Rattus norvegicus: one gene and its partner. The protein of the gene in region 1 purifies or fractionates together with the protein of each later gene. This does not show direct contact. Links are inferred from orthologs where the notes say so. Each region holds a gene or a part of one and is shown on either strand. Other genes may lie near its edges.

Region 1 (4,492 bases):
AATCAGGGTCTCCAATCAGAGTAGATACTTTGGAACATCTGCCCCTGATCCTGGCCAAGGCCCAGCAGCAAGACAGCTGGCCCCCTGGGACCTTGCCTAGCAAGGGGGCTGCTCTCTATGGGGACACAAAGAGCCACAGGACAGGATTAGGATAATGGGGTGGGAACCCAAGCAGCAGAGGGCAGTGTCTGGGGACTGTGTCCTGACCCTGTCAGCCAGGGAAGGTCACAGACACAGGAAGAGCTGCTCTACTTGGGCCAAGGCAAGGGTCCCCCAAGGAGGGGCCAGGATGTCCGGGTCTGTTTCCCCATACGCAAGTGGGAAACCATACCCCAGAGACTACAGGACACTGGCTGTCACCCCTATGCCCCCTCCACCCATCCCCCACATTCATGCCCTGATTTTCAAAAGCAGGCTTGTCCCTTGGGCCACAGAACCATCCCTGTATGTTTTAGAGTCCATCTTACCAAGTGCAGAGCTCACAGTTTGCAAGCCACATTTGCTACTCAGAGCAACACCAGGGGCAACCAGCATGGCCGTGCATTTTATAAAGATGTTTGGCTCCCAGCTGCTGGCCATGTCTCATCTCAGGAAACTGCCTGACCCTAAAGGTCTTGCCCACCTCCTGAAGGTGATGGACATGAGGCCCCTTCCCTCTGAGTCTGAGCAAACCACATGCTGTAACCAGCAGGGTCTTCCCAGCTTACTTACCCCTCCCTCCTTGTAACTAAACTCCATGGGCAGCCAGGGACAGGGCTGGGCAAAATTCACCAAGCACCACTCAGGAGCTAGCATCTCTCTCCCTCTCCTTGACAAAGAAGACCTTAGACCACCAATCTAGAAGCCACCAGGGCCCAGTGGCTCCTGGCTCCTGGGAAGGCTGGGCAAAGACAAGCTCTGCTAAGCAAACTTCCCGAGAGCTGAACAATCCAGTTCAGGAAGAAAGCACAGTGTAAGCACAGACTTCCTCTGGGGCGGGACAAGCCCTCTTCCTCCACCAGGGCCAGGCTACCACAGTCAGGAACTTAACAACGCTCATTCTAATGACCTGCCTCCCCAGGAGGATTCCATGCAAGTGTCCGAAGGCTGCTCACCTTGGCGAATGAGGATCCTGGATAAAAAGGTAACAGAGTAGGGACTACTCCAGCACCCAACCCCTTTCATCTCAGGGATTTTAGGATCCAGCAGGCTTGTTTGCCAGGCATTCCCTACAGTGGTTAAGGCCCTCTGGGGTCTTTGCACACTATTCCCTATGCCCTGAGAAAAGCCCACTGCTGCTACAGACACATGCAGTGTGTCTCCATCTTCAAAAGACCAGCAATGAAACCTCAGGGGTCCTGGCACTTTGGGAGGTAAGACTGGGGGATTGGGGAGTGCCTTAAGGACTTAAATACCAAGAATGCCAGTGGGGACAGGGTGCCCAGAGACTTGTCCTGGATACCATGGGAGATCATTGTCTCCCTTTGCAAGGCAAAGGACCATCAGAACTCAATTTCGTGAGCTTGGGTCTTGCTGTGCCTCAGAGCCAAACACAGAACCCTGGACACCCAGTGGAGGCCCTCCCCTACCCAGGTGGCAAGACTAGCCACAAGGAGGTCGCCTAGTGGAACATCCAAAGGAATTAGCTGCAGGGTCGGTAGGGTAGAGTAGAATCCAGAGCCAGAGGCTGGCAGGGCGCTAAGAAACTAGGCAGCCAGAAAGCGCTGGCCAGGGGGAGGCAGCAAGGAAGGCAGCCAGATCATTCCTGAAGATGACTTTCTGTGACCCTGCCCTTGAAAAATTGAGTGCCCTGCCCCTCTCAGACAGCCGGTGAGAATAAGTGCCACCTGGTAGAAGTGAGGGCCAGGTGCAGCTCTGCTCCCTCCCTCCCCTGTTGCCTAAAGCAGGTGCTGCTCATGGACTCTAGACAATGTTGGCTGGGCTCAGGTCATCCAGTCCACTTTCCTCAGCTTGGGTTATTGAAGCTGTAGGCACTCCCTGTGGACATCTTGGGCAACAACTGCACCTGCCAATCTATCCTGCAAACGTCCCTGCTTCTCTGAGTGCCTAAGATAGAGACATCCACCCAGGCCTGGATGGGTTTACAAATCGACACCAGTCATTCCTGGGGGCTCCTGAGTCTCTTGTCACAGCTGACTCACACCAAAAGGCAGGCTCCCAGCTTGCCTACTCCTCCTGTGGGGACTAATACCTAAGTGTTGTCCCTCCATCCCAAGCGCATGGCCTCGGGGAGCTCTTAAGTTGGTACACTCCATATTCCAAGTGTCCCCCACCACATGCCCCACTAAGCCCCAGCAGAGTCTCTGAACTGAAAGGACTGACTCCCAGTCTGGTATGTGATTAGCCCTTCCTTGCCTCCCTGAGGGTCACAGTGGCACCAGCCCTAGGAGTCCTGCGTGCGGGGAGGTTACTCACACGGTGAAGTGGTACACGAAACACTTCCAACCCGTGGGGCGCTCGAGGAAGTTGTAGACGCGGCCCTGGATGTGGGTGCGCGCCAGCAGCGGGCGACGCGTACTGTAGATGGAGACGCGCGGGTCAAGGCTCACCCGCGGACGTGGGCCGAGGTCTGCAGGGGCCGGGACGGGCGACACAGGGGGCGACATGGGGGGCGCGAGCCCTGGAGCTCCGGTTGGTGCGATGGGCGCGTAGACCGTGCCTCCCGTCGGGCCACCTTCGGCCAGCTCCAGTGAAAAGGGACACTTCTTTGCTAGTCCCGCGCTTCCCCGCCGGGCGCCTAGCAGGCGGCCCCAACCCGCGCGCTTCCTCTCAGCATTGGGCGGGGAGGAGGCCGTGTCCATGGCCAGACAGGACCCCGGACCCCGCCGCTCCTCAGAGCAGAGATGAAGGCAGCGCAGAGCGCAGGGCGCAGTGCGGGTGGCCTGCTGCCAGCCCAGCCACGGGGGGCCGCTGTCCGCTCCGCCTGGGGGCGGGGGCGGGGCTGGTCCCCCGGGATGGCATGTCCCGCCCCCAGAACGCCCCGCCCCCGGGCGCCACCGCGCGCCTACCTGCGGCCTGGCTCAGCCAGCGGGCTACCTGCTACGCCAAGGCATGCCAGTCTGATCTCCGCATTCCGGTCGGTGCGCACCTGCTGGGCGCACGTGCTTCCCCGCACCCCGAGGACCGCCAGTCTGCTTGGCTCTAGGGTCCTCTAACTTGGGACCAGCAGATACCACCACCACGAATCAGGTCGACCACAATCACCCTTTTTCTCGCCATCAGAACCCTCCCTAGAGAGGAAGCAGGAGGCAGAGAAGGGCATCCTGGGCCACGTATGGATACTTTCCAGCACAGGATGAGGAAGTGTTGGCCCGGAGAACACTGAGCACCCTCGGGTGTCCAGAAGCCTCCGCTGGCGGCAGAGAATGTGAAAATCCCTTCCCAGTAGTTAATCACGGTCCAGTAAAGCAGTGGGATGGAGGAAATGGGGACTGACATGAGTGCCACTCAATGAGTGTGGGCTAAAAGGCAAGTGCTAGATTGTGGGCTTTACTTGTAGACACCGCTGGTGGGTCTGCCTGAGCGTTTATGTTTACTCCCTTTAAGTTTGTAGCTCCCCAGAGACACACAGAAGACCGCTTCTTGTCCTGTGGTGGTGTAAGACCAGAGTCAGAAGGTTTATGCAGCTGGCTCTTGCTACGCTGGCCTTTGTGTGGGGTATAAGGGCACCTGCATCCCATGACAATCACCAAATCCCATTCTCCTGTGATCCGCCAGGCCCGACTCTCACACCACGCACAAGAATAACTTTCAGATACTGTCTTTGTTAGCTTCAATTGTCAACTTGGCACAGCCTAGGGTCATCTGAGAAGAGAATCAGTTGAAGGACTGCCTAGATTGGGTTAGCCTGTGGGTGTGTCTGAGGAAGATTGCCTTGATTGTGTTCATTGATGTGGGAAGACACAGCCCACTGTGGGCGGCATCTGTTTCCCGGGCAGGTGGTCCTAAGCTTTATAAGAAGGCAAGCTGAGTATGAGCCCGAGAACAGGCAGGCAGCGTTCCTCTGGGTTTTCTGCTGAGCTTCCTTGGTTGTGAATGAGTTCTTTGATGGGAGTTGGTGCTATGTGGAATACTGAGCAAGCCTGTCTCCAGGTTCCTGATTGAGGTCCTTCTCTGGCCTCCCTTTGAAGATGGGCTGTAACCGGTAAGCTGAAATAAATCCTTTCCTCACCCAAGTTGCTCTTGGTTCTGGTGTTTATCGAAGCAATAGAAGGAAACAAGAACAGGTGGATCAAAGGCTTTGGTATAAAAATTGAACCTGTGCAGAAAGAACAAGGGTGAGGGGCCATTGGTATAGCCAGAGGTAGAGTATGTGCCTAGTGCATGCAAGGACCTGGGTCTGATGAGGACCGGGGGGGGGGGCACGGGGGGGGGGAGCACCTGCCTCAAGAAACTGTCACTAAGGAAAACATTTCCAACTGTGCTGTGAAATCCCAAAGCAGAAAGCCACCTCGGGGAAGTAAGAGATAGGGGACAAACTGAGACAAACAGT
Region 2 (3,812 bases), on another chromosome or scaffold:
AGCAAGTCTTGATTTCACATTTTTTTTTTTTTTGGTTTTGTTCCCAGTAAAGGTAGACTAGAGTAGATAAGATTTGGTTACTAAGTGCAGTATTTTAATCCATATCACTTTTCCTCCAAAGCACACATACTTAGAAGCACTTACACCTTTGATCCGGTAGCAACTAGGTATTTACAAGGGGAATATTCCAATGAGTTTATTTTCTTAGAAGCATAGTTCTTCATACCAGAAATAGTCATGTTCAGAGGTAGACAGAAAACCACTGAAAGGCTCTTTGGTTTGTATCGTTCTCTTTTGGCCAGAATTGGAAGTAGCTGTAAGTAGTACGAAGTAGACTATTAGAGCTTATGACTTTTGTGCATTATGAGAGCAAAACATCTTTAGTTGTGTGTAGTTTCTATAAAGTTTAGAGCCTGAGCTACCGTATACTATTCTTTTAAACCCTTACTGGTTTATAGGTGTCTTCTGAGACCTTTTTCATTATGGTGATATATTTGGATTTATTTAGGCATTGAAAAGACTGACCCATTCTATCATTCGTCTGGTGGGCTGGAGCTGTATGGAGAACCAAGACACACAACATACCGCTCAAGATTTGATCTGGACTACCCTAGGTCTCCCTTGCCATTGCAGAATAGGTAAGAATTTATCAGGTCTGGGTGGCATAAGCAGTAACATGTCAGCAAGAAGTAGATTGTTAGAGTTTATAACTTCTTTGCATTGTGAGAGCTAAGAATCTTTAGTTATATGCAGTTTCTGTGGAGTTTAGAGCCAGAGCGACTTTTTATTTGTAAATGGTTTCTAAAGGCATAGAAAACAATTTATAAATGGTTTATAGATGTATACTGCAGTTAGACATTGGAAAAGTATTGATTACCATCCAATACAAAAAAGAAAATAATACTGTAGATCTGTGAAAAGTTGCTTAACACAAATCCTGCATATTCTGATCACCTCTGAAGGGCTTGTGCTGGGCCTTCTCATAATGGCATCTTTAAATTTATTGGCGATTTACTTGTTATCCTATATTTAGAAGTCTGCTCAGGCAGTGTATAGAGTGGGAGGGGGTGGGGGTGGGGTGGGGGAGGGGCATGGGGTGGGGGTGGAGAGGCAGGCTGTCAGTTTTTCTACATTGTTTCTAGCAAATTGGATTCCTGAATATAATTTAATCCATAGGTACCCGGGTGCTCCAGACTTAAATTCTACTTCAATGGCTTCTTCTCAACTTCACCAGTACAATCCTGATAAATCTCTGACAGACTATGTCACTCGGCTAGAGGCACTGAAAAGGCGACTTGGAGCTATACAGTCAGGTGCTGGATCTTAACCACTTCTCTGTAGCGGCAGTACACTTGTGCCTTTCTCTATCTCCTCAACATGCTTCTGCAGGTTAATCAAACCTTTTAGCTCAGTGAAGAAATTCCACGGTGTCCCAGCTTAAACTCTGACCAGCAGAGAACTATCTCTCCTGTGTTCCAACAGCACCCCTGACAGTGATTTTGTAGTCTTCACTTGGATTAGACAAAATGCATGATGGGTACCATCTGAGGCCCAGCCCAGAACCTGTTCCTAAGTAGAGTATGGTAGAAAGCAGCAATGTGTAGAAGGCAGAGCAAGCCCTGCCCAAAGCAGGTAATGTAGCGATTGTCTTCATTGTCCTTCCACATGGTATCCCAACAAGCTTTGCCTTGCAAAACACTAAGTATCATCATACCTCCCCTCACCATATGAAATGTGTTCCGTAAAGTGACTCAGCAGTTAAAGGCCCTGCCTCCAAGCCTGAGTATCTGAGTTCAATCCCCACAACCCACAAGGTGTAGGAGATGACCAACTCCTACAGGTTGCTCTCTGCCCTGCACTGTGGGATATCACCTACACACATAGATAAAAATGTAATTTTTAAGATTTTGTAAGAATAATTTTACTCAGAACTATACACAAATTGTCATACTTTATGTAGAGGAAGATTTCATTCATCATAGGAATGCTTCCATGATTTCATTCACTCACTACTGGTCCAAAGACTGGGTCGATTTAGTTTAAGCTATTGTGCTAGCCCTGCTCTGATGGATTCGTTTTGCTTGTTTGTTTTTATTCATTCTATATGTATGAGTGTTTTGTCTCCATGTGGTCTGTGTACCACATACATGCCTGATGCCTGCAAGGGCCAGAAGAGGACATCAAACCTCCTCGGACTGGAGTGAGCTACTGTGTGGTTGCTGGGACTCAAACTCAGGTCCTCTAGGAGTGCTTCTAACAGCTAAACCGTCTATTCTTCAGCCCCTGGTCATTTTTTAAGGACTCTTTTTCTATTGATACCACATACTGTGGACCACAGTTATTTAAAGGTAGTTCAGTTCTTCATTCAAGAAGTCGGGTATTTAACCCAAGTAACCTTCGTGTGCTCATGAAATTCATCAGCACTGACTCTCTCTTCCACTGCTGTAGGGTAGTCAAGGTGACCTCTAAATATAGTCAGCCTCTTGGAGCTCAATTTAAGCTGAGGGCAGATGGCTTTGTGTGAAGAACACTGTTGTTTAGAGACAGACTTGTCGTTCCCGGCACCCAGTCTCATAACTGCCAGTAACTGCAGCTCCAGGGAACCCAGTGACTTAGGGCACTCTGTGCTGCATTCACACACACACACACACACACACACACACACACACACACACACACACACACAGCATACATGTACACACATCTGGCTGCATATTGGTTGTCATATTGAGCACTCAAGCTCAGATTGTTAGACTTGCCAGCACCACAACCACTGGAACACCTCACGGGCCCCTGGCATTTTGAGATGGTTTTAAACAGACCCATCTGCCCATGTCGTCTGGCTGCCCTCAAACAGGTACGAGTCTAATTGTTTTGTATTTTATTTTACAGGGTCGACTACTCAATTTCATTTTGGCATGAGGAGATAATCCTTTGAAATACTTATTGAATATTAAATGGATTCCCTTTTGTAAATCAATGGCTCTTTTGTGCTTTTGTATTGTGAATATTCAACGGGACCAATACATACACAGCTTATGATTGTATACAAATCCTCAGCAGCACATGAAGACAAACTGGAGTTTGTGTATATAAGCATTGTGTGTGTTCATGCACAGTAATCATTAAATTACATGTATATTGTGGAATGCTAATTTAAATGATTAAATTATAAACTTTGTGTATTTATCGGAAGGGTGAAAAGATTAAACTTTTTCAAATGGCAATGCTGCCGGATGCATAGCGTGCGGTGTCCTGCGCTTTTCTTACAAAGCTACTGAAGTTACAAGTTTCTGCTTCATAGATTTGCTACTGGTGATGAAGACAACATGTCACTTGTAGAGACCTATTTTTGTATAATGGTCTAAGTTTTGAACTTTATGGGTATTTTGTCAAGTACTGAAATAAAAATGACCTCACCATTTTCACTGTACTGTAGTGGAACCTTCTTGATTTTTCACCAAGCCACAACTTGTGGTCCCTGTCATCTTGTTACTTGTCTCAGCTCAGGTTCCAAAAAGTGGTTTCTCTCTCCCTCCATTAAAGGACATTTTTAATGCCACACTAAGGTGGCATTAGTGTTTATGATTAGTCCATGTTTTATTCTATTTAGTGTTCTTGAGTCCAAAGACACAAATCTAGACACAGAAATCAGCTCTCAAAGAGCATCAAATTGTATCCGTGAGAGTGTAGCAAAATTCAGGAATCCTCCTGCTACGCCAGCCAAATTCTAAATGGAAAAGTCTCAGAGAGAATACAGTTCTCTAGAGGCCTCCCTACAACACTGACTAAAATGGCAGTGGTATTGCTCA

What was found.
Region 2: the proteins of Kcnq1 (region 1) and Akap9 purify together in Homo sapiens (affinity purification with western blotting; 3 studies listed by BioGRID and IntAct, with this or other methods). This does not show direct contact. The link is inferred for Rattus norvegicus from reciprocal best matches to the Homo sapiens genes KCNQ1 and AKAP9.

The regions. Positions count from the first base shown.
Region 1 is NC_086019.1:207,719,576-207,724,067, reverse strand, and holds the start of Kcnq1 (potassium voltage-gated channel subfamily KQT member 1), read right to left. Parts: upstream 2,871-4,492; 5' UTR 2,802-2,870; coding exon 2,416-2,801; intron 1-2,415. UniProt on the Homo sapiens protein: Pore-forming subunit of the voltage-gated potassium (Kv) channel involved in the regulation of cardiomyocyte excitability and important in normal development and functions of myocardium, inner ear, stomach and colon.
Region 2 is NC_086022.1:31,011,096-31,014,907, reverse strand, and holds the end of Akap9 (A-kinase anchor protein 9), read left to right. Parts: intron 1-508; coding exon 509-638; intron 639-1,176; coding exon 1,177-1,313; intron 1,314-2,892; coding exon 2,893-2,930; 3' UTR 2,931-3,433; downstream 3,434-3,812. UniProt on the Homo sapiens protein: Scaffolding protein that assembles several protein kinases and phosphatases on the centrosome and Golgi apparatus. Required to maintain the integrity of the Golgi apparatus. Required for microtubule nucleation at the cis-side of the Golgi apparatus.